2 linked regions of the Saccharomyces cerevisiae S288C genome follow. The gene in region 1 interacts genetically with each later gene. Each region holds a gene or a part of one and is shown in the gene's direction. Other genes may lie near its edges.

The links.
Region 2: mutations in AIM33 (region 1) and LST4 together harm fitness more than expected from each alone (negative genetic interaction), as found in Saccharomyces cerevisiae (2 studies listed by BioGRID).

Annotation. Positions count from the first base shown.
Region 1 is NC_001145.3:93,871-103,874, reverse strand, and holds AIM33 (cytochrome-b5 reductase), read left to right. Parts: upstream 1-8,505; coding exon 8,506-9,444; downstream 9,445-10,004. Other genes in the region: YML082W (putative cystathionine gamma-synthase), read right to left, coding at 64-2,013; YML083C (uncharacterized protein), read left to right, coding at 2,825-4,081; alpha-tubulin TUB1, read left to right, coding at 4,475-4,499, 4,616-5,934; ALO1 (D-arabinono-1,4-lactone oxidase), read left to right, coding at 6,504-8,084; SCF ubiquitin ligase complex subunit UFO1, read right to left, coding at 9,634-10,004.
Region 2 is NC_001143.9:109,339-126,562, reverse strand, and holds LST4 (Lst4p), read left to right. Parts: upstream 1-8,576; coding exon 8,577-11,063; downstream 11,064-17,224. Other genes in the region: EBP2 (Ebp2p), read right to left, coding at 1-804; U5 snRNP GTPase SNU114, read right to left, coding at 1,020-4,046; TPO5 (Tpo5p), read left to right, coding at 4,327-6,183; Zn(2+) transporter ZRT3, read right to left, coding at 6,259-7,770; STE3 (Ste3p), read left to right, coding at 11,936-13,348; CCAAT displacement transcription factor COY1, read left to right, coding at 14,060-16,099; 60S ribosomal protein uL22 RPL17A, read right to left, coding at 16,434-16,679, 16,986-17,224. UniProt on the Saccharomyces cerevisiae protein: Involved in extracellular amino acid uptake. Required for the trafficking of the GAP1 nitrogen-regulated general amino acid permease from the Golgi to the plasma membrane.

The DNA of each region.
Region 1 (10,004 bases):
AAAAAAAAAACATAAAAAGTGAAATTAGAAATAAAATTCACTATGCCTATCTTCCTTCTTTTGTCATATTTCTACCGTTTTATCAATTGCCTCTTGGAAGATCTTGCCCAATATTGACTGACTTTCGAGGCCTACGCTGATTCTGAGAAGATTTCTCTCAACCCCAAATTTTTCAGCCATGTCGAGTTCGTGGTAGTATGTCATGAGCGTATAGGGGAATGCGAGTGTGAAATTTGTGCCCAAGGAAGGACCCTTGTTCAGCTTTAGATTGTCATAAAAGGCCGCAGCATGATCTTCGTCATGGAACGTTAGTGAAAAGAGCCCGCCGTATCCACCTTCTTTCTTACACCTCACCATGTCATAGTTGGTTAGTGTTTCTTTTGAGGTTAGATTAGGGTAGTAGATTTTCTTGAATAGTTTATTTTCGCCTACGTGTGGCTTCAGTATTTTATCTAAGAGGTATTCGGTGCTGTAGTTGATCCTGATGGTTCTAGCAATGAAATCTCTGGAATTTCTTTCCAGGTAAATTGCGTCTTCGCACCATAATAAATCTTCATATTCGTCTTCTAATTGCATAAAACGGGAGGCAAACTCGTATACCCGGCTTTGTGGATTTAAAACCATTGAACCACCAATGACGTTAGAGTCCCCACTAAATGTCTTCGTCAATGAACTGCAAACGATATCAGCAAACGGTAGACCGTCAATATTAACTATTCCACCCACAGTTTCATCAATGATAATGAAAAACCCAAATAATTCCGAAAGCCTTTTCAGTTCCAGTAAATTTCCCATTTTTAATAGTGGGTTTGATGGGGTCTCTATAAAAACGGCAAGAATTTGCTCCCCGGAATGTAAAATTTTTGTTAGTTCTTTCATTGAAGACTCATCTCCTTCTCCCAAGAAATACGTTTCATTAAACTCTTGCAAGACATGTAATGTATCCGCATAAGGGAACCCAAAAATCACGGTCTTCTTATTCGGAGGTGACGAGGTGACGTCGCTTCCATTTCTGGATCTATTCAAACGCAGTGAGTCCCATTGCAACAGCAATCTATGCGCAGTGAATATCGACGCCATGCCGCTCGGAAACAAAAAAACGTCTCTCTCAGGGCAAACCCTTAATGCACACCTCCCGGCATCTTCCTCTACGGATTGCTCTTCCTCTATCGTGCTCATTTCGATGGGCTCCGGGGGTATAGTGGAAACAAGGCCATTATGCGGTTCTTCTTGACTGTCTACTTCACCGCTAATCCCGCCGTCATGATCTTCTCCGTGGTTAGCCTCATTGAGGGATGAATCCAGAAACGTGTCCTGGAAGTCCTGTTCATCTTGGTTACCTGCTAAGAAATGGTAGTTTTCCTCCTCATCGTGCTCATCTTTATCTATAACCTTTGTAGCGATCCTCTTCTTAATCAATTCCTTGGCTCGATCGGCAAATGCAAAATTCAGATTCCTGCCATACCGCATCTCTATGTATTCCTTTTCCTCTGCAGGGCTGGATTTCTTTTCTACCATGAAAAGTTCATGCAAAACATATTCAGCTAGTCTGCTTGAGATGATCTCTCCGGTGTATTGCCAATACTGTTTTAATATATTCTCGTATGCCCCATCTACAAACACTACCGCAATCTTACACTCTCTTTTCCACGTCTTCTGCTCCTCGTTGATAGGTTTCGCCGTGGCTAACTGTAATATCCTTACTTTGCCATTGCGATGCGCGCACTTCCTTCTTACATACTCTCTGCACCGTTTGGCAACTCTATAAGAGGGGAAGCAAAAGCACGTTTCGTTTTCTTTAGCATACTTTTCTATTAAAATATCACGCAGCTTTTGAATCGAGGGGTGGATCCAAAACCTGGGGTAGCCAGACTTTAAACACCCTAAAACTTTGGGGTCTTTCTCCACATACGAAATTACAGATTTCCATGTCGGGAAACATACAGATACCGCATGTTGAGTGTCCAGTGGTATAGGCTGTCCTAGCTCGGTAGCCACTTGCGCTGAAACCATATTATAATGTCCTATAGAAGAAGAAAATGTCAGGAAAACTTCGCCTATAGCCCTTACTCTCTGCGTGGCCCTGCTATACTTCTTTCACTATTGAGAGGCAATTTTTTCATCAAATTTTCATTGCGAATTTTCCAGACGGCATCGCACAGGTAGTCGGGTAACACGAAGATGTGGTTTTTCAACTTGGTAAGGACTGCTATTAAAGAGGTCAGTCGATACAACGAGAGAAACTTAAACTTACACGTCTATCCTTGGCGTCCATGTTGAGCATGGTATTATCTTCACCTGCTGCCTGTCTTTAAATCGAGGGTATCCGCACCGCAGTTCGTGACCTGTGCCTGCGTTATGCGAGAGCAAAAGGGCCCTTAACGAGCCGGCACCTAAACGAAAATTTCAAGGGTTTTTTTGGCGGTGCCTAATAAGGAACGCGCAGAACAATAGACCCTGCCGGTAAACGATGGCCTTGCAGTCGTATACTGTTAAAACTGTTGAGTGGGTGAATGGCAGGGCCTAACTGCTTGCCTAGGAGTACCGCAGGAACGGTACGAATCGAGTGGAGACAGCAAACCTTGACGTGTGCTTGCTTTTAAACGGGTCGGAGAATTTACTCTTGAGCATATACGTGTGGGCATATGCATACAAATATATAAATACATTCGGGTGTATACGTAAATATATAAATATATAAAGTAACATATGTATATAAAGACGAAAGATTGAACGCCATCGTGGAGAGGGTTTTCGTATGAAGGTGCCTTAAGTCTTGTGTAGAAGTAGTTCTTTAGTTAAGATAGAACCTGGTAAAGACTCAATGGACTATTTACATGTATATAACAACAACCAGGCGCACGTTCCCAGAACACCTCCAGGCAGGCAGTGCCTATCGCCCGTTCTGCCCCCAATCATATTGGCGTTAGATCAACAACATTCGCTGACATTTGGGTACTCCAGCCCCAGGTGCTTGCCAACACCCATATTGCCTTCTATGAGCACAAATACGCCCGTCCATTGGTCACAACAGGTTGTCACTATCCCTGTCGCTGTACGAAATCATGCCGCAATGATGCCTATTATCACACCTATGACCTCCCCAAGACCTCAGTTTGAAGCAACGGCTCCCTCACCCCCTTTGGCCCCGGTCGCCATAAAGCTGCCAGATTTGAAACTACCACCGTCGCCTGTGCCCAGCACAGTAGAGGACAGAGTTTCACATCCTATCCTGCCCAAAATTGTGATCGGGAATGGCGGCGGCCGTGATGTTGAGCGAGATAGTACCGAGGAATTAATTAGGAAGATTCCAAACTACATTGGTTGTGCAAAAACAAAGGCACAATTGAGCAAAGTTAGGTCTGGTAAACAACTAATTGCATGCGCACAGGAATATCACCATCCAGTAAACAAGGACGAGATCGAAAATATCAACAACATTCTAAACTTCAGGGACTTTATTTTCAAGCATCCAAAATCCTCCTTCGAGTTCCTATGTACCCTGTCGTTTGAGCAGTTCGTTAGAGTATATTCATTCATTAGTTTCATCTACAGGACAAAGAAAATCAATAAGAACAAGTACGAACTCGTTTGTGAGATGAATGTTCACGAGCAACTCAGCAATAAGCGTATACAAAGAACAAGGACTCCTGAAAAGTACAAAATACATTTGATCTGCGAGTCAAAACTCATACTGACCTTCAACCACTGTACGAAGACAGTAAAATTTGAGTCTATCAATGGCGGGCACTGCCATCCGATTTCAGCCAACCACATTATCAAGCCCTCCCTCTTCCTTACCCACTGCATTAATAAATGCTACCAGACCGTGTCAGACCCTACCGATTTGAAATTGGCATTGAGAGACGCCTTAGAAGCCCTTGATCATGAAAGGATAGGATTGTCTTTCTTAAAGAGGAGACATTTCAAGTGCTCACACCAAGCATCATCACTCTCGAATGCCAGCGCCACATTGAAGAAACAAGAAGATCATGACACATTTGGTGTACATACAGGAATAATTCATACGGCAAATTTCTTCATGTTTAATGCATCTAGCGATATATTCCAGAGGAACTAACATATATAAATATCTGTATCCTTCTTTAAGAAAACACAATTGCATACTTTTTCCATTATAACTGACTGTTTCAGATCCTGCAATAGAAAGTATTTTTTAAGTAATGAAATAGTGCTTCCATTGATAGTAAGTGAGTAATAAGACGATCGGAAACTATTAATATAAGTATAGTTTACATATATATATATATATATGTGCCAGACGATAATATCACCGTAGTTTCCGGCCGGGTTATGCCACGCGAAAACGCCTCGAGCCAAGGGAAAAACTAAACTACAAAACAAAACAAAACAAAACAAAAACATCTACTATATCGTTTTACCCAATTCAGTATATCCGTCTACAACAGTTCTCGCCACCCAAGATCTGTAAACTTACAACTGCAAACAAACAATGAGAGAAGTTATTAGTATTAATGGTATGTTCGATTTGCCCGTCCAGGCTAGATCTTTTTTTTGTTAGTTCATTTTGGCGTTTCATCTTTCATTACTAACTTCAACGCAAAATTTTTTTTTTTTTGATTTCTCTTTACAGTCGGTCAAGCTGGTTGTCAGATTGGTAATGCCTGTTGGGAATTATATTCCCTTGAGCACGGTATTAAGCCGGATGGACATCTAGAAGATGGCCTTTCAAAGCCGAAGGGAGGAGAAGAGGGTTTCTCCACGTTTTTCCATGAAACCGGCTACGGTAAGTTCGTTCCAAGGGCTATTTACGTGGATTTAGAGCCCAACGTTATTGACGAAGTCCGTAACGGTCCTTACAAGGACTTGTTCCATCCAGAACAGTTGATCAGTGGTAAGGAGGACGCGGCTAATAATTATGCAAGAGGCCATTACACCGTTGGTAGAGAAATTTTGGGCGATGTTCTGGATAGGATTAGAAAACTGGCAGACCAATGTGATGGGTTACAAGGGTTCTTGTTTACCCATTCTCTTGGTGGTGGTACTGGTTCCGGTCTAGGGTCCTTACTGTTGGAAGAACTATCCGCTGAATACGGTAAGAAATCCAAGCTGGAATTTGCCGTATACCCTGCTCCACAAGTGTCTACTTCTGTGGTTGAGCCTTACAACACAGTTTTAACTACACATACTACATTGGAACATGCAGATTGTACTTTCATGGTCGATAATGAGGCTATTTACGACATGTGCAAAAGAAACTTGGATATCCCAAGACCAAGCTTTGCAAACTTAAACAACCTAATTGCTCAAGTGGTATCATCTGTTACAGCATCATTGAGATTCGACGGTTCATTAAATGTAGATTTGAACGAATTTCAAACCAATTTGGTTCCATATCCAAGAATTCATTTCCCCTTAGTTTCATATTCTCCAGTCTTATCCAAATCAAAGGCATTCCATGAGTCCAACTCTGTGTCAGAAATTACAAACGCTTGTTTTGAACCTGGTAACCAGATGGTCAAGTGTGATCCAAGAGATGGTAAATACATGGCTACTTGTCTGTTATACAGGGGTGATGTGGTAACAAGAGATGTTCAAAGAGCTGTCGAGCAGGTGAAAAACAAGAAGACCGTCCAATTGGTTGATTGGTGTCCAACTGGTTTCAAGATCGGTATTTGCTACGAACCTCCAACTGCCACACCAAACTCACAATTGGCCACTGTGGATAGGGCCGTCTGTATGTTGTCAAATACCACATCCATTGCTGAGGCTTGGAAGAGAATCGATAGAAAATTCGATTTAATGTATGCCAAACGTGCTTTCGTCCACTGGTATGTCGGTGAAGGTATGGAAGAAGGTGAATTCACCGAAGCTAGAGAAGATTTGGCTGCTTTAGAAAGAGATTACATCGAAGTGGGTGCCGACTCATACGCTGAGGAAGAGGAATTTTAAGGTTCACTCTCGCCCCCAACCTCCTTATCCTTTCTATATTTCAAGTATATTGTAAAAAAAAAAATTCCCCCTACTGTTATATCTCTTTGGTGATATCTTATCTATAATCTACTTATTATATTTCTCTAATATCTATGTACAAAAAATAAAAAAAAAAACCATTCTCCTTCTCTAACCTGCATTTGATGAAAGCTTAGTAAGTCTCATCGTAGTTGATGGGCCAAAGACATTTGTACTTGTTTCATCAGATTCTTACATCACCCATTTCCATGATTATTTCACGGATTTCATTAGTAATTGCATTTTTGTATCCCTAGTTCCTTTTCTCCCGCCTTGCCGTCGAATTGAAAAAAAAAATGGAAATGAGGACATCTTCCATTGATATCCAGGACAAAGCAAGAGTAGAAGTAACTATTAGCAAGGAGAATTCCAAAAATAGTGAACTTCAAGGTAAGCAGATCTATAGTTTCAATATCTGATTTTCTGCTTTTCAAAACTTAAAATTCATTAGAAGGTAAAACAAGAACCCGTAAAATTAAAGTTACCGATATTATCAGGTTTTTCACCCCATGTCTACTATCCCATTTAGAAAGAACTATGTGTTCAAAAACTGGGCCGGAATTTATTCTGCAAAACCAGAACGTTACTTCCAACCAAGTTCAATTGATGAGGTTGTCGAGTTAGTAAAGAGTGCCAGGCTAGCTGAAAAAAGCTTAGTTACTGTTGGTTCGGGCCATTCTCCTAGTAACATGTGCGTTACTGATGAATGGCTTGTTAACTTAGACAGATTGGACAAAGTACAAAAGTTTGTTGAATATCCTGAGTTACATTATGCCGATGTCACAGTTGATGCCGGTATGAGGCTTTACCAATTGAATGAATTTTTGGGTGCGAAAGGTTACTCTATCCAAAATTTAGGCTCTATCTCAGAACAAAGTGTTGCTGGCATAATCTCTACTGGTAGTCATGGTTCCTCACCTTATCACGGTTTGATTTCTTCTCAATACGTAAACTTGACTATTGTTAATGGTAAGGGCGAATTGAAGTTCTTGGATGCTGAAAACGATCCAGAAGTCTTTAAAGCTGCTTTACTTTCAGTTGGAAAAATTGGTATCATTGTCTCTGCTACTATCAGGGTTGTTCCCGGCTTCAATATTAAATCCACTCAAGAAGTGATTACTTTTGAAAACCTTTTGAAGCAATGGGATACCCTATGGACTTCATCTGAATTTATCAGAGTTTGGTGGTACCCTTATACTAGAAAATGTGTTCTATGGAGGGGTAACAAAACTACAGATGCCCAAAATGGTCCAGCCAAGTCATGGTGGGGTACCAAGCTGGGTAGATTTTTCTACGAAACTCTATTATGGATCTCTACCAAAATCTATGCGCCATTAACCCCATTTGTGGAAAAGTTCGTTTTCAACAGGCAATACGGGAAATTGGAGAAGAGCTCTACTGGTGATGTTAATGTTACCGATTCTATCAGCGGATTTAATATGGACTGTTTGTTTTCACAATTTGTTGATGAATGGGGGTGCCCTATGGATAATGGTTTGGAAGTCTTACGTTCATTGGATCATTCTATTGCGCAGGCTGCCATAAACAAAGAATTTTATGTCCACGTGCCTATGGAAGTCCGTTGCTCAAATACTACATTACCTTCTGAACCCTTGGATACTAGCAAGAGAACAAACACCAGTCCCGGTCCCGTTTATGGCAATGTGTGCCGCCCATTCCTGGATAACACACCATCCCATTGCAGATTTGCTCCGTTGGAAAATGTTACCAACAGTCAGTTGACGTTGTACATAAATGCTACCATTTATAGGCCGTTTGGCTGTAATACTCCAATTCATAAATGGTTTACCCTTTTTGAAAATACTATGATGGTAGCGGGAGGTAAGCCACATTGGGCCAAGAACTTCCTAGGCTCAACCACTCTAGCTGCTGGACCAGTGAAAAAGGATACTGATTACGATGACTTTGAAATGAGGGGGATGGCATTGAAGGTTGAAGAATGGTATGGCGAGGATTTGAAAAAGTTCCGGAAAATAAGAAAGGAGCAAGATCCCGATAATGTATTCTTGGCAAACAAACAGTGGGCTATCATAAATGGTATTATAGATCCTAGTGAGTTGTCCGACTAGTCTCTTTTTGTCTCAATAATCTCTATATTTTACTAAAAAAGAATATATATATATATATATATAGCAGTGTGATGACTGTTCATGTACATTCTAATAACTATTCCTAGCTGCCTATCAAAGACTTTTTTTTTGAATTAGAGCTTTTTAGTAATCATGGGACCCTTTTTTCTTTTCATTATCCTTACTATAGTTTTTTTTTTTTGGAAAAGCCGAACGCGGTAATGATTGGTCGTATAAGCAAAAACGAAACATCGGCATGGCGTAACGTAGATCCATCTACAGGGAAGTTTTTAGAAATCAGATAGAAATGTATTTTGAGTGCTGTATATATTGCAGTACTTTTTTTCTCTCTAGGATTTAAGTATGTTTAGTATTAACTCATATCACATTTTTTCTTTGTAAAAAGCAACCATTCGCAACAATGTCGATAGTAGAGACATGCATATCTTTTGTTTCGACAAATCCGTTTTATCCATTTTGTACTGGATTGCTTCTGAATTGTGTGGTTACACCTCTTTACTTTTGGAAAACGCAAAATGGTAGAATCGTGGTCGTTTCATTGCTGCAATTCGTAGTACTTTATGCCACAGCGTTTATTTCGATTGGAACTGATAAATCTCTTTACAGAAATAAATGGGTCGCGCTACCGCTATCCAAGAAGACCCGCATTTCTCGTAATACTAGTCTGTACTGCTTCAAGTTAAAGTACCCATTTGAAAGATTGCATATTCCCATGGGATACCACCTGGCAGTAAGGGTTACAATAAATGGTGAGCGATTAGTGAGGTACTATACGCCAGTAAATGTTCCTAATACGGAGGGTCACTTGGAATTAGTAGTCAAGACGTATAAACATGGTGTCGTTTCTAAGTATTTTGATAAATTAAAAATTCGCCAGTATGTTGAATTTAAAGGGCCGTTAGGTGAGCTGGAATATGATCAGGACACCGCAACAGAGTTGGGTATAATCGCAGGGGGGTCTGGTATAACCCCTGTATTGCAAGTGCTGCAAGAAATCATACCCTCTCCAGAAGACCTAACACACATTTCTTTGATATACGCAAACGAAACAGAGGATGACATTCTCATGAAATCGCAACTAGACCACATGGCTAAGGAGTACCCGCATTTTAAAGTTCATTATGTAATTCATAAGCCAAACGGTAAATGGAACGGTGATGTTGGGTACGTAACTCTAGAGGAAATGAAAAGATACCTACCTAAACAAGCGGAGGACCATCGTTTATTGATTTGCGGACCACCTAAAATGAATGAAATGGTTTTGAATTATGCAAAGGAGTTGGGGTGGAGTAATGGGTTTCACAAAGGTAATGGAACCGATAAAGTTTTTGTTTTTTAATCAACTGTTTACGATTGATGATTTTTCATGTAAATAAGCATTAATTATATTTAGATATATATTCGTATTTTATTAATAATTAGGAGGAATAAAGTCCGACATTTTTTTCAAAAAAAAAAAAATAATATTTCACAACGAAAAATCTATAAATAAAATATTTAACATATGCTCTTCCAAATGTACATACTTTCAATTGATTTCACTCAATGACAACGCAATGGCCAATTGTAAGTCTTCATCAACATTATTACTAGCATCAACGCCAACAGAACTACCGATAGTGTTCTCAGTTGAGGTTCGTTCGGATGACTCTGCTGCACCATATGTAGCAAAATTATCGTCGCTCAAGGGCCCATTTCGTCGACCTGTAGTATGATTTCTAAGATGTCTTCTCCTTTCGTCCTCCACTCTTGATTGTCTGATGGCTCTGAGAAACTCTTCATCATCTTCATCTATCTCATCATTCGTATTATTACCATGATTCGCAGAGCTATTCGTTTGCGTCTCATATATCAGTTGAGATTCCTCCAGCGCCCTTCTTAACTGCTCATCTTCATCAT
Region 2 (17,224 bases), on another chromosome or scaffold:
GAAGGGTACTTTTAGTCGTTTCAATTCGTCACGTGCTACTAAAACAGCGTCCAGTGATTGCTTGTAAAATGCTAATTCCCTTTCAGTATCATCGTATATGTCCTTAATATGTTCATCCGTATTAGTTTCTGATGTAACGCTTTGGTGCTCTTGGAATGAATGTTTTTTCCATGGCAATTGTACCCTTTCTAAGGCATGTTTCATCGCTTTTGTGTTGTTGACGGTTAGTTTATGATGTGGAACGACATCTGCATCAGAATCAAATTCCACGTCTGACAATGGAACGTCTTGTTCTTCTTCTTGCTCTTCCTTTTCCTCGCTTTCTTCTTTAGCAACGACATCCTCATCCTCTTCAGAATCATTTTCAGACTCAGAATCATCTTCAGACTCAGAGTCACTTTTGGCCAATTTCTCAAGATCCAGTCTTCCTTCTTCTTCTTCTTCTTCTTCTTCTTCTTCCTCTCTATCGTCGCCAGATTCATCTTCATCGCCAGACATATGCTTTTGAGCTTCGGTAGCGTCCTGTTCTTGCATTTTTTTCAATTCTTTTTTCAACTTTCTTTTCTCTTTTTTAGAAAGGGCTTGGCTTTGATATTCTTCAGTATCTGCAGCAACTTCCTTCTTAACATCGGCCTTCTTTTCTTTCTTCTCAAGCTTTTTCAAATTAGAAGCTGTAACGATAGTTGGTTCTTCTTTCTTCAATTCTTGGGATTTCTTTTTCTTTAGGTCATTTTCAAGCTTTTCAGCTTTTTCAATTTCCTTTTGATGCGAAAGCAACTCCTTCAACTTGAAACCTTTAGCCATTCTCTATATACCGTTGTTCAACTAACTGTGCTTTGTTACCGTTTAACTTTTTAACAGCGTAAAATTCTATAAAGCTCATCTCATCTGTATTTAGGCAGAAATAAAAAATTTTCAGTCCCGATGAGTAGTTATATCACTAAATACGAAGTCATATGTAAATTCTGCTGAATAAAAATATTGTGGACATATTGCTTAATTCTTATGCGCCAAGATTTTCACGGTACTAAGCCATTTTCTCTTAATTGAGCGTATAATTCAGCGCTTATATACTTTTCAAGCGTAGGACCATCATTTGACATAAATCCACCTGTAGAAATACCCTTCCGCCTTCTTGTTTTCATCACGAAATCACGACTTAAACTGTTGATAGGTGCGGGTTTCAATTTTGGAATAAACGCATCTTTATCCAAAACATCACCAGGAACCTTCCTCCATATCTTGTGCCAAAAGTACAGCTGACACATACCAAGACCATTCGTAGATAATCTCAAATCTGTCTCGAATCCTGCAGATTCAATAACCGGAACTTGTCCACGAACCTCCAACAATGGTGTCCCTGCCACTTTTATTGTTTTGTATATCCTGCTTCCACGTCTCTTCTTCATAAGTTCCTCTACTATTGGCAGCAAGGGGGCGTGGACCGTGATGTCAACTTCATAGATGGGTTCCAATAAAATTGGGATTGCTGTCAGTAAGCCAACGTAACAGGCTTTTTTCATTAGCGGAATAATTTGACTTTTCATAACGTCAATGTTTACGTCGGAAGGTACTGAGATCGATAACAATTTATACTGTACACCATAAATTGGTTCTTCTGCCAAAGGCCCCTCTTTTACAGCCCAGTAAAATCCTTGTATTATTTGTTCCTTATATTTGGATAATAATTCAGGACTGATTTCATCTGGCAAAGTGTCATTAATCAACACGTTGCCATTATAAAAAGACCAAACGTTTCTTGATGCCAACGAATCCCACCCATACTCGGTTCTCAATATTTTGGATAGTTTCCTTGGGTTGTCCATTATTCCGTCAATATCCAAGCAGTTTTGACCCTTTCCCAATGTGTTCCTGCTCAAATCCTGAATCATTTTAGAGTCCATTGGTTCAGCGGCTACACTAATCGACAGACCTGGTAAATTTTCCTCACCAAGGCGAGATATCGAATTACTTACAGGTATTGAAGCGAACGATTCATTTGAGCAACTTTCAGAAAAAACAGTTAAAGGATCAGATATTTTAATTTCTATCTTTGCATAACTCGCTCTTAGATCATACAACAAACAGTCCATATACAGCTCTCCATTTCCTAGTATTACATGTTCTCCAGATTCCTCAACTTTAATAATAACGCCTGGGTAGTATTTCGAAATTTTGTTCAGGGCATCCAATAACTTGGGTAATTCCCTTGGCAGTAAAGGTTGAAGAACAATTTTGAAAACTGCCTCGGTAATATAATCTAAAGGTTTGAAAAATTTTAGCTGTTTCATGTCCTCCTTACTCTTTACAGAGTACAACGTCGCGGATTTAATATATGCACTTGAAATACCTTTTATTAATACTATCTGTCCTTTGTGTGCTTCATGAACCGGATAGACATATCTGCCACCTAATAAGCCAATTTCTTCGACCTCACATGAAGGCGTTTCGTCATCTTCATCTTCATCTTCGTTGGAGGTTTCCGTCTTTGAGATATCATGCAACTGTCTTTTTTGGCGAGATTCAGATTGTGATGTATCAAGTATACGTACTGTATCCCCTCTCTTCAAAAGTCCAGAGTATATCCGTACAAGGGACCACTCTGCTCCACCGTAATCCACAGTTTTCAGTACATGAGCCCAAAGAGTGCCTTCTGGTGTAGATTTTCCTGGAATTGAAAGATGAGCTGTCTTATTGTCGAATAATTCAAATGGTTGATAACATCTGGTTATCGCATCTACAAGACCGGTTTGTTGCCTAAATATTAACTGTAGAACGTGTTTTAAAAAAGGTTGCGGATCGTACTGGAGGGCCTCTTGACTTAAATTAACTCTAAAGTTAGACCTTAACAAATTCTTTAATTTATCTTTCTCCATAGATAAAGCGTAGGAAAATATTTTATAAAGCGGGATGAGGATAAATTCAACGAAAGTCGGGTACTTCTCTACATTTTCAAATGGTTTTGTCCTGAAATTACCTTTATGGTAATATACGCTACCCCATAGCCTTGTGGTAAAGTCGTCTATCTTAGAAGAAGGTATGGAGTGGGCGTAATAATAAGAAACAAATTCCTTGATAGTGAATGTGAAGCCCAGCTTTGTAGACGCAAATATTATGTTATTGTCTATTGGTGAAAACACGTTTCCCTTCGTAAAGGAATTGATATTTGCAATTATATGATTTAACTTCAAGTATGCGTCCATTGGTGGCAACTTTAAATCTAGAATCAATCTGTCGAGTTTATTTATAACAAAACACATTGCTACATTATTTTTAATACTTTGTTTTATCAATTGCTCTACCACAAATGTAACACCTTCTACAACATCTATCACGATTAAAACCAAATCACTTGCTGCAAGTGCGACTGCCGTTTCATCCATAAAATTAACATGCCCTGGTGCATCCAAAAAGTTTATCATTCTAGACTTGGATTCTAAATCGGTGCAGAGTAGAGTGGAACCATTAAGTTTAATGGAAAGACCCCGGTCAATCTCTTGTTTCAAATTATCCAGGTATCTTAGCGGTTTCCATCCAAGTTCTACATTCTTAGACATATCTGGTATGCGTTTGTGTGAGTCGATTACTAGGAGATCCATCAAAGAGGTCTTACCTGAGTGAAGAGGTCCAATGACACCAACATTTATTATCCTCTCCGGAATGTTAGCCATTGATAACATATAGTCTCGATTATATCTAGTCTTCGGAATGTTTTTTTTTAATTGTGTAAAAATTGTATGCTCTTGCAACTTTGTTCGTTCTGTAACCGGCTCTACCAGTGGAGTCTGTGGTGACTGTGTGTTCTTAGTTTCCATTAATACTTCCACTTCCTTACCATAAGGGTGCTCTAAGGAAATTCCAAGTTCCTTTTTACTTCCTAACGAGGTAAGTTGTCTGCTCTCAATCTCATTGTTGTTGCCGCTCCCCTCAAACGTATTGGTTTGATATTGTTCTTGCTCATCCAGCACACTTTCTTCTTCATCCGAGTCAAAAGGATCAACTCCGATCAAATTTCCAAACTCATCGAATAAATCGTCACCTTCCATTTTGCTATGTTAGGAGCTATTGTGTATCGCTTCTGTAAAAGCAGCTAGCAATCGTCAGCCGTTGGCAAGTAATGCCCCAAAGCCTTGTTTTCTGCCACTTTGAAATTTTTCAGGCCTTTCCGGCATTAAAATTTCCGCAATGAGGCTTTAACAATCATTAATCATCCCATAAGGATAAGCCAAAAGAACAGATCATCAATTTGACGAAGAACATACCAGTCCGTGTATTTGTTTGCCATTGTACAATAAAATAAATAAAAATAAGTCAAATAAATGAAAAATGCCAGAGTATACGCTACTGGCTGATAATATAAGGGAGAATATCGTTCATTTCGATCCGAATGGTTTGTTTGATAACTTGCACACCATTGTTCATGAAGATGACAGTCAAGAGAACGAGGAGGCCGAGCATTTCAATTATGATCAGGTGTTGGATAAATCGTTATTGTCAAGAGGTTCTATTGTCGGTCTCGGTTTAGGACTAATGAGTCCCGTTTTAGGAATGTGCACTAGTATGGCCATTGGGCTAATTAATGGTGGTCCGTTAACTATAATGCTAGGTTTTTTAATCAGTGGAGTGTGTATATGGTTTTCGTCGCTTTCTCTTGGTGAGATTGTTTCAAAATTTCCGATGGAACTGCATGTTGGGAGTGCCATGTTGGCCCCGGAGAAATTGAAATTAGTATGTTCGTGGTACACTGGCTGGTTAATGCTCATAGGGAATTGGACTATGAGTACCAGTATTACTTTTGCAGGCGCTCAACTTACCATTTCTTTGATTCTGATGACGAACTCCAACCTAATATCCGAGGCACACTTGATTTTTTACACAGTCATTGTATTTTACTTAGTTGTGACTGTTGTAGGCCTCGTGAATTTGAAATTTGCAAGATTTATTGAAACAATAAACAAAGTCTGTGTTTATTGGATCATATATGCCATTATATTTATTGATATTCTTCTACTAGTATTCCACAAAGGTAAATTTCGATCTTTGAAGTACGCGCTATTTCACTTTGATAATAATCTATCAGGGTATAAAAGCGCATTTCTTTCCTTCATCATTGGATTCCAACAGTCTAATTTCACGTTACAAGGTTTCAGTATGTTACCTGCTTTAGCTGACGAAGTCAAAGTTCCTGAGAAGGATATTCCACGTGGTATGTCGAATGCGGTATTGTTATCCGCGTTCTCTGGAGTCATTTTTCTTATACCAATAATGTTAATCCTGCCAGATAATGATTTGCTTTTTACCAATCATAAGGTTCTACCAATAGTGAACATTTTTACAAAATCGACTGATTCGGTGGTCTTGTCTTTTTTTTTAGTGCTCCTAATTTTAGGAAACTTACTGTTTTCCGGAATTGGCTCGATTACTACATCTTCTCGTGCGGTATATAGTTTTAGTCGTGACCAGGCTATACCATACTACGATAAATGGACCTACGTCGAACCGGATTCTCAGTCAAAAGTCCCCAAGAATTCTGTTGTATTGAGTATGATAATATCATACTTTTTAGGTCTGCTAGCTTTGATTTCAACGGCCGCATTTAATGCTTTTATAGGCGCTGCAGTGCTCTGTCTTTGTTCTGCGACTTTCATTCCGTTAGTCTTGGTGCTGTTTACGAGAAGAAGAGCTATCCGAAGCGCGCCAGTAAAAATCAGGTATAAGTTTGGTTGGTTCATCAACATTGTTTCTATTGTGTGGCTCTTGTTATCTATGGTTTCTGTTTGCCTACCAACGCAAGTGCCTGTAACTTTCAAAACAATGAATTATGCTTTAATGGTGTACGTATTCTGCATTTTAGTTATCACTGGTCTTTATTTCAAATGGGGGAAGTATAATTTTAGATTACCCTTGGCAGATGACATCAAGGCTCCAATTCCCAGTGATGCGGAAGAAACTGTTTTTGAACTAGAGGATAGCAATGTTGAACATACTCTAAACTCGGGAACCACAGTGAAAGAGTCTGTAGAAAATAATTCTGAAGAAGGTTTCATCAAGGTGCATCCTAAAAGTAGTACAGAAAATCCCTTTGAGGAAAATGAGGAAAACGTGATAACCGATTATGGTGATGAGCACCATACAGCAGAACAAGAATTTGATCTTGCCGATGATCGTAGATATGATATATGATATATGATCGTGATTATACACCGTTATTTAATGGGAAAAGACTTATATAGAAAGAATATACGTAGTTTTAATTTATCAAGTGAAAAGGGCACTCGCTAGAATTAGCAAAACGCCAGTGCAGCACCATTTCAAGCAAGTTGTGCCTGAGCTATGGGACTGTTTCATTTCTTCATCACCTTCTCCTTGATGATGATGATGTCCATCGCTAAATCCGATACCAGTTTGGAACATTTGTAAACCAATTACTAATAGGAACCCTGCAGTAACGCTCAGTAAAAAATCCATGTTGGGTTCGTGATCCCTTGGAGTACTACCTTTAAAGATGAAATAACCTATCAATGCACCTAATGGTTGAGATCCACCACCGAGAACGGCAGTAATCAAAATGGCAACCCATTTAGATTCGAAAACAGTGTAGAATGGTAACGTCATTGCAAATCCTTCGACAAAATTATGGATCGTCAAACTTAAAAAAATGGAAAATCCCAAGGACTTTGACGAATCTGACCTGTTAGTGTAAAAAATAATAAACCCTTCGGGAAATTTGTGTAATGCAAGGACTAGACAAGTTTGCATACCAATAGACAGTAATTTGGAAAAAGGGGTCTCTAAGTGATGATGGTGGGGGTATAATGAACCATTTTCGGGATGGTATTGTGTGTCTGCCAATGCGGCCGGATTCTCAGTTACATCATTTCCCAAAGGTGACGAAAAAGAGTGCGACAACTGGTTGGAACCATAATTTTCGGGCGATTCAGAGGAATGATGATGGCGGCTCGAAAGAAAATTCTTACGGTACAACGATAGGTTTTCAAGATCGTAACCGATATTATTTTCCACGCATACAAGGCCACGATGATCCTTGTCATCGGATTGTCCATTATCTTCTGATCCCTCGCATCCATGTGGCACGTTTCTTTCACTTTGAGAAGACTTTATCACTGGTGGGACACATGCAATATATTCTGGCTGCTCTGATTGCAAGAGCGGAGTGCACTTGTTTAGGTCACAACACTCGCCTTCTGATTTCCTTCTGGTTAATAAGTCAATTAGGGACATTTTCTTTTTCATTTGGGGTCTATCGCTATCCTTTGTAATCAACGGGTCATTTTCAGAAACACTGGAAGAAGATGTTGCATAACCATGCTCAGAGGGAGCATTTTCTAAATCATGATCGTTGCTAAAATTCGAATGCGAATCCGCATGTGAGTGTGAGTGCGAATGCGAATGTGATTTGGAGTGTATATGTGAACCTGTAGCATGGTCACCGCTATCAGCACAGTGTACCAACGATTCGCTGGCGAAAGCGTGGACTAGGTAGTTTAAGAAAAAACTGAGGCAAATACCCAAAAGCAATCCAGGAAAAACCTTGAACCGGTTTGATTTTTCGATCCGAGGCAATAGCATGTATAGTGAAGTAGTGATCATAGATCCGGCACTTAGAGAAAGACCATAGTTGACCAACTTAGATTGGCTATTGCGCTTGCTATCGAAGGCAACCGATAACAACGGCACACACAGGGCCCCAAGTATGCACAGCACCGACGATATAAGAGAAAACAACAACCACCTGGGAATTTTTTCCATTTTCTTGCGTTTCTTCACTGTGATGCTTGTGAGAATATTAGGATATACCAACGTGCAACTCTGAAATGTCAAAACGGTCGTGTATAAATAAATGATATACCAGTAGGTGAAATCATCTCATTTGTCTTTCTAAAAAAGTCCATTACCCTTAAGGTTGTTGTCACAACCCACGGAGCAGTTTTAGAGGTGCAAAATTGAAAGAATGGCCACATTTTGAGCAATTCATCGACAACAAGAGCTTATGATTAACTTGGGTTGTGGGCAATTGGGTGTACTATGAAGCAGCCAATACCTGTTTTACAACAGTATTCTCAGTTTCAGCTTAGAGATGTGTCAAATCGAAGGCTAGTGTGGTGCACGGAGTTTATGGCACATTGGTAAGTAATCATTGCAACTTTTTTTTATTTGAGGAATATAGTAAGAGAGAAGCTTTAGTGATGGTCAAAGAAGAGAGGAATACAAGTGAGTTGTATCTAGGATTTTTTATTACGTGAGTGTTGTTTTACTTTAGTCGGTAGGAATCATTGTTATTTTTGTCTGTTTGTTTGTCTCTATTTTTGGGTACACGTGCGTGTTTCTTCTAGTGGATGGTTTGAACGAAGCAGGTTCTCAGGATTGATTGATTGATCTGCTTTAGTGTGTAACGTTCTGCGACTAGCTTTCGTTGCTACCGATATATAAAGAAAAAAAGGAGAGCGTGTGTTTGGAGCGTCTTAAACCCCATTGGTGAGAGCCTCCAGTACCATTTGCCTGTTAAAACTGTCTTGTGTGTGGCCTTGTAGAGAAGGTGAAGAGGGAGAGTTTATATGTTGGGTAATTTACTGAGAAATAAGACGAGTTCGTCTGGTTTTGAGAAGAGCTCAGAGCATTCCGATTTTTCCTCCGTAGTTCCCAATGTCCCTGTATACTGCAAAGCGGCAAGCACAGGAACTACTAAGACCGCTGCTGGAGCTCTTTTAGATACTGCAGTCAATGTGGAAAAGCCTTCGGAAATGCTATCAACGACTTCTCCGCCCATTTTAGATCATATATCGGATGACTTAAAACTGAAGCTTTTCGGCTCGAGGGATATTCCTTATAGTCGTCCTATCGATACGTTACAAAACAACGGAGGTCTTGGTACTGATAAAATCACGTCTATTAACGAAAAAACGTATGCATTCAGGATTTTGATCATTGAGGAAGCGGGTCAAATGGCGTGTAGGAACAACTACCGTGATATCTTCGATTACACTACGTCAAAGATTTCAAATTCGATGGAGCAGATACGGCCGAGTGAATTGAAGGAATATATATTTGGTTCTCCCGTAAGATCTTCCGATTTGACGCAGTGCGACAAGATAAGGACGATTCCTAACTCGGATTTGGTACTCATAACTAGAATTTTCTATTACACACACCAATACAACCGCATCGCAATTAGCTTATGCATACCGAGGATATTGTTGCCCGTAGTTGCAGAGTCGTGGTCTTCCATTTCATCATGGTTGACCCAGACTCAAAAAATGCTCATTGGTTTCTTGACTAAAAACCGTATTATGCAAGAAAATACTGGCAATTACAGCAATAATTCAGTCATAAAATTGTCAAATATTGACATCAGGACGCATTATCCCAAGGAAATTGAAATAATGGTGCAAACTTTACAAAAAAGAGTCATACCAGGTTTACGTTCTATGTCTGAGATTCCTAGGCTTTTCCTTTACCCTGAGACATTTAAAGAATTCGTTCACGTTTGGTTCAAAAGTATATTTAATTGGATTGAAATCAAAGATGGACCGAAACTAGGCTTCCTTCCTCTCCTAATGGCAATGATTATATCTGATTACAGGCACACTATAAGAGAACTAAAGACATCCAAGATCGTAATCCTGTCAGGAAACATGGTGGTTGCTAACAAGTTACTGTTCATCTTATCGGCTTTATTGGAGCCAAAGTACAAGGGACAAATAACGATACGGCGGGAAAACATAAGATCGGATTCGTCCGCTGTATCAAGAAATAAGTCTAACAATAATTTTGTCGATAAGCCTGAGACGGAATTGAGCACACTGACTTCAACAGACAACCTTTTGAGTCGCACAGAAAATAATAGCAATCATAATTACAACAACAGTAATGTGAGCTCTAACAGCATTGGATCACCCAATTTCCATTCTTTGAGGAAAGGATGGCAAATACCCAATCGGAGGAACTCGAACACTTCAGTATCTGTGTCTTCTAGTGAGTCTTTAGCGGAAGTTATTCAGCCATCTTCCTTCAAAAGTGGGAGTAGTTCATTGCATTATCTATCGTCTTCTATCTCAAGCCAACCTGGTTCGTACGGTTCTTGGTTCAACAAAAGGCCAACAATTTCTCAGTTCTTTCAACCAAGCCCTTCTTTAAAACACAACGAGTCGTGGGAGAGGCTGCAAACAACTGCTGGAAATATGCAAAGGACTTCAAGTTCGTCTTCTTTGCAGCAAGCAACCTCCAGGTTATCACTAACCACTCCGCAACAATCACCGTCTATCAGCGAATATGATGAGTATCCTTGGATGGGCACACCTGGCTCTCCTAATGTTGGAGATGTGTCTCACGCACCCCCATTGGTTAAGAATATATCATATAAATTTCCACTAAAGAACGTTGAGTTGAAAAGAGATTGCCAAAGGATCTCTCAGGATGATCTTTTGGATGAGGCTTTTGAAAGAATATGTCAGCCCTCTTTGGCTGACCTTAATTCCACTTACGAAATTTTTCCAGGTAACTCTTCTTATGCGGATATTTTGACTACTGATTCTGATATTGATGATGGCTTGATGAATAAACCTCTGGAACTATTGCCGAAATATACAATGTATTTAACCCATTTTAACAATTTTTTCCAGTTGCAAGCATGTCCTGCTGGTCAAGAATCAGAGAGCAGAATAACAAATTCTATGAAGATTGACCTGTTAAAGGCGGATTACACAAGAAGTCTATTAGTATCGTTACGTTCAAGGGACATTAGGGATGTCGCATTGAAAAGAGAGTTTACTGGCAATAACAACAATAACAGCAACCAGAATATCTATGATGAGAATTTTGTCGGAAAAAGGAAGTACGTGTTGAAACAGAAGACCAGAAAAATCTTTTCCTGTGGCAAGATTGGCAAGCTAAGTACTAGTTTGGAAAACTGCGTTAATTTTGTTGAAAATAGTATAAAGAGTGCAATGATGTTATATGATGATAATGGAATAGATAGTGAGCTTCGCGATTCAGAAGCTTTACGGATTTTTTCATCTCTTGTTCATTATTGTAATGCAGGTTAATGTTTTCTCCTTCTTTACATGTTTAATATATTCCAAGTTACCTAAGAGGTGTACGATATTTTTTTCTTTTATATATATGATTTTCTCTATTCATTTTTTAGTTTTTTTTGATACATAAGCGAATCGCACATTGCGCAACTTCAATTTGTTGATTCGCCAAAGTATTCTTACCATAAAACAACCATTCGTTGCTTTACCCTTTCGTAATCATTTACCGTGATAACCATAATCAGAAACTTATTATTTCAGCCTAGTAGACCGGCCAAGCAGGCCTTGTAATGTTTCTCTTGATTGCTTGAATCTTTTAAGCAGCCAAATCTTTCCAAAAAAATGCAATTATCAGAACAAAACTATTTAAGGTGACTTCTCCGTATTTACACCACCAGAAGCGTTCTGGCTCCCCTTTTCTCTAAACGTTAAACATTTTACAATTGAAATGTTACCAATCCTATATTATTGTACCACATTGCCAGATTTATGAACTCTGGGTATGGGTGCTAATTTTCGTTAGAAGCGCTGGTACAATTTTCTCTGTCATTGTGACACTAATTAGGAAACTTCTCGACTATCAATGTGTAAATGAAGGAATAATGGCGGAAACTTTGAAACTTTGTCAATAATTGCATCATTGGATGCGTTTCATTTGGCCGTTATCACGGAGAGGCAGAGTTCTCTCCACAATTTGGGCAGAAGTCTTTTGAAAAGACATATATATATATATATATGTATATGAGTGGATGCTTAAGGTAAGAATAATTTCTGAATTCCCAAGTATTCATTTTGTGCAGTATTCACATATTCTATTTTATTGCTTTTTAACTTTAGAGGCAATTAAATTTGTGTAGGAAAGGCAAAATACTATCAAAATTTTCATGTCATACAAGTCAGCAATAATAGGGCTTTGTTTGCTAGCTGTGATACTATTAGCTCCCCCTTTAGCATGGCATTCACATACCAAGAATATTCCAGCAATCATTTTGATAACATGGCTTCTTACAATGAATTTAACGTGTATTGTAGATGCGGCAATATGGAGTGACGACGATTTCCTCACGAGATGGGATGGTAAAGGTTGGTGTGATATTGTCATCAAGTTGCAGGTTGGTGCGAATATTGGCATATCATGTGCCGTTACCAACATCATTTACAACTTGCATACAATTTTGAAGGCAGATAGTGTTTTACCGGATCTTTCATCATGGACGAAAATCGTCAAGGACCTTGTGATTAGCTTGTTCACACCTGTCATGGTCATGGGATTTTCATATCTGTTACAAGTATTTAGATATGGTATCGCTCGTTACAACGGTTGCCAAAACTTATTGTCTCCGACATGGATTACCACTGTTTTGTATACCATGTGGATGCTTATATGGTCATTTGTGGGCGCTGTTTATGCCACCTTAGTACTGTTCGTGTTTTATAAAAAACGCAAGGACGTTAGGGATATTTTACACTGTACCAATTCAGGTTTAAACCTGACAAGGTTCGCAAGGCTGTTGATATTCTGTTTCATTATTATTTTAGTCATGTTCCCTTTTTCTGTTTACACCTTTGTTCAAGATTTACAGCAGGTAGAAGGACACTATACTTTTAAAAATACCCATTCCAGCACCATCTGGAATACCATTATTAAATTTGACCCTGGCAGACCAATTTATAATATATGGCTTTATGTTTTGATGTCTTACCTAGTATTTCTAATCTTTGGCTTAGGTTCTGATGCTTTGCATATGTACTCTAAATTCCTGCGTTCCATCAAACTAGGATTTGTACTTGACATGTGGAAAAGATTCATTGATAAGAATAAGGAAAAACGAGTAGGCATATTGCTAAACAAGCTGTCCTCACGCAAAGAGAGCCGTAACCCATTTTCTACAGACTCTGAGAACTATATCTCCACGTGTACAGAAAACTATTCTCCCTGTGTAGGTACACCAATATCACAAGCGCATTTCTATGTCGACTATAGGATTCCAGATGATCCTAGAAAATCTCAAAATAAAAGCAAAAAATATTTGTTTGCTGATAAAGAAACAGATGATATTCTTGATGAAATAGACCTAAAAGAAAGTAGGCACATCCCTTACGTCACGCAAGGACAGAGCTTTGACGACGAAATATCACTTGGAGGATTCTCAAAAGTTACTCTCGATTATTCAGAAAAGCTTCATAATTCTGCAAGCTCCAATTTTGAAGGGGAAAGTCTTTGCTACTCTCCAGCTTCAAAAGAAGAGAATTCAAGCTCAAACGAACATAGTTCAGAAAATACTGCAGGCCCTTAACACAAGAGTGTCGCATTATATTTACTGGACTAGGAGTATTTTATTTTTACAGGACTAGGATTGAAATACTGCTTTTTAGTGAATTGTGGCTCAAATAATGTAACGATGAGCTCATCAGCTAATATGTGGCTTAGCGGTAAAAATGACGAATTGTGTGTAAACTTTACTTTAATATTTACTGCTTTTTTGCTACTTTGGTTTCTATTTTTTTCTATAGAAAAGCAATAACGTCTGTATTATATATAAATATAAGGAGAAATTGATACAAGTTCCACACAAGAAAAATTTTTTAAGCTCGAAACAAAAGTAAGCTTTTGCTCCAAAAGTCGATTAGCAGAACAGTCTTTAATAAACGAGAGAATTGGCACGATCACTTAATTGGCCATTTTTTTAGGAGCATACCAAAATTCAGGCCAGGAAAACATGAAAGAGCATCATATCTCCGCTCATAATCAAAGAATATTTAGGTACCCACAATTTCAGTTCGCTCTATCACTATTCTGCACACCAAGTTGTAGTGGTTACTTGTGTCATTCAAGAAAACCATTACTGTCATAGAGAATGTTACGTAACAAATGATATTATCTTGGGGCTCATGAAAATGCCAAAATAATATGTTTAAGAGTTTTGAATGAACACAGTACAATAAATTGTGCGTAATTGCTTCATTTCTTCACTCTGTTATATTAGCTCGTCAAAAATAATTTGACAATGGATACGTCAGTATATTCTCATGCATTGGATATTTGGGCCAAGGCAGATTTAACGAATCTTCAAAGAGAATTGGATGCTGATGTTATAGAGATTAAGGATAAAGAAACCCTGTCCTTGAATTCAAGAAAGTCATTAGCCACTGAGACTAAAAAATTTAAAAAACTCGAACCTGAGGAAAAATTGAACAATGTGAATAAAATAATTAAGCAGTACCAACGTGAAATTGATAATTTGACACAGAGATCAAAATTCTCTGAAAAGGTTCTTTTTGACGTATACGAAAAGCTTTCAGAGGCTCCTGATCCACAGCCGCTACTACAAAGTTCGTTGGAAAAATTGGGCAAAATTGATGACTCGAAGGAACTTAAGGAAAAAATAAGCTACCTAGAAGATAAGCTAGCCAAATATGCAGATTATGAGACTTTGAAATCAAGGTTACTGGACCTAGAGCAAAGCTCTGCAAAAACATTGGCAAAAAGACTGACTGCGAAAACTCAAGAAATCAATTCTACCTGGGAGGAAAAAGGAAGAAATTGGAAAGAGAGAGAAGCAGATCTATTGAAACAATTAACAAATGTACAGGAGCAAAACAAGGCACTAGAGGCCAAAATATCTAAAAATATAGATATAGAAGGTAATGGAAACGAAGATGGTGACCAAGAAAACAATCAAAAAGAAGTATCTACAAGGATTGCTGAATATAATCTAGTAACACAGGAGTTGGAAACTACGCAGGCTAGAATATATCAGTTAGAGAAAAGAAATGAGGAACTAAGTGGTGCTCTTGCAAAGGCAACTAGTGAAGCAGAAAAAGAAACTGAGTTACATGCAAAGGAACTAAAACTTAACCAGCTGGAAAGCGAAAATGCATTGTTGAGTGCATCCTATGAGCAGGAACGGAAATCAACATCACATGCAATAAATGAGTTAAAAGAACAATTAAATAGCGTTGTGGCGGAATCGGAATCTTACAAGTCGGAGCTAGAAACTGTTAGAAGAAAACTAAACAATTATTCTGATTACAATAAGATAAAAGAAGAACTTTCTGCATTGAAAAAAATTGAGTTTGGGGTAAACGAAGATGATTCTGATAATGACATTCGCTCTGAAGACAAGAATGATAATACTTTCGAAAGTTCCTTACTATCTGCAAATAAGAAGCTCCAGGCTACTTTGGCGGAATACCGCTCAAAAAGTACGGCTCAAGAGGAAGAACGAAACGAATTGAAAAAATCTGTGGACCAATTGAAGCAGCAAATAGCTACTCTCAAAGAAGCAAATGAAAAATTAGAGACGGACCTAGAAAAAGTAGAGAACGTCAGTCCTCACTTCAACGAGACTGCAAGTATGATGTCTGGTGTAACAAGACAAATGAACAATCGTACGTCCCATAAAATGTCCCCAACGAGTTCTATTATTGGTATTCCAGAAGATGGGGAACTTTCTGGAAACCAATCAACCATTTTACCAATAGTTACTAAACAAAGAGACAGATTTCGTTCGAGAAATATGGATCTGGAAAAGCAACTAAGACAAGGAAACTCAGAAAAGGGTAAGCTTAAACTAGAAATTTCGAAGCTAAAAGGCGACAATACGAAGCTTTATGAACGGATTAGGTATCTGCAATCCTATAATAATAACAACGCTCCCGTTAATCAAAGTACAGAGCGTATTGACGTGGAATCCCAATACTCAAGGGTGTATGATGAATCGTTGCATCCAATGGCAAATTTTAGACAGAACGAATTAAACCACTACAAAAACAAGAAATTATCAGCTTTAGAGAAGTTATTTTCCAGTTTTGCAAAAGTCATTTTACAAAATAAAATGACAAGGATGGTATTCCTCTTTTACTGTATCGGTTTACACGGACTCGTATTCATGATGAGCATGTATGTGATTAATATTAGCGGCTACATGACACCTGAGGTTGGTATAGTACAATCGGCAAAGTCTTCTTCAAATCTCAACGGAGGACTTGGGGGAGCAGAAAAAGTAGCTGCAGGCGTTGGTTCAGTTCATGGCATAAATCGATAGATGCCTTTATTCACTAAATTCTAATAGCTCGGTATGAAGAACGCACACGTTCCGTACTAGAGAGGGAATGAGTAACGATTGACATATTGATATAGACAGTAGCATTTCTTATTATCTTATCTACGGGATTTTTTCAGTTTATGAGCATTTCTTATACCTTTGTTCATTATAAAACTATGTTCAATACTTTGAACGTAGGATTATCCGATATAATATAATAATATTAATAAAAAACTTATTTTAGAGTTATGTGATATGACGGGGAGATAAAATTACATAGATAAAAGATTAAAATTAACAGAGAATTATATTATCATTATTTTTCATCTTCTATTTAAGCAGCAATACGCTTTTGGGCGGCGATTCTACCTCTTTGTCTAGAAGTCAATCTAACGACCTTCTTTTCAGCAGCCTTGGCGACAGCTTCTTCCTTTTCAGTGACAACTAATTCAATGTGGGATGGAGAAGATTCGTACTTGTTGATTCTACCGTGAGCTCTGTAAGTTCTTCTTCTTTGCTTTGGAGCTTGGTTAACTTGGATATGAGAAACGTACAATTTAGTAGCATCCAAACCTTTAGCCTGTAATAAAAATAGTTATGTTGTTAGTAAAAAAAATTTTGATCCGGTTAAGTAATTGAAAAAGATGAAACTAGCGGAAAGAAATATCAAGTTTTCAATATTTTTCTAACAAAATCATAAACACGTAATGGTAATCCTTAGTTGCTTTTCAGCTTGACAGTTCATTCCAATCTGGTAATTGTGACTTTCTGAATAATTCATTTATCATATTCAATTTCCCTTGATCATAATGGATTTTCCGCGCATTTTGAATTTCAACTCATTCTTGTTTCATCTGGTACTAAACATATAATATTCTTGACATACTTCAGCGTTGGCAGCGGCGTTTTGCAACAAACCTTGAACGAACTTAACAGACTTAGCTGGCCATCTAGCCTTGGTGACACCAAATTCCTTACCTTGAGCAGTTCTACCGATGGAAGAGTTAAATCTTCTGAAAGGAATAGCTCTTTGGTGGTCCAAAACTTGTTCCAAGTATTTTTGAGCCTTGGTCAATTCCCAACCGTTAATAGCTTGAGCAGTTTCTCTGGTGTTCTTGAAAGAAA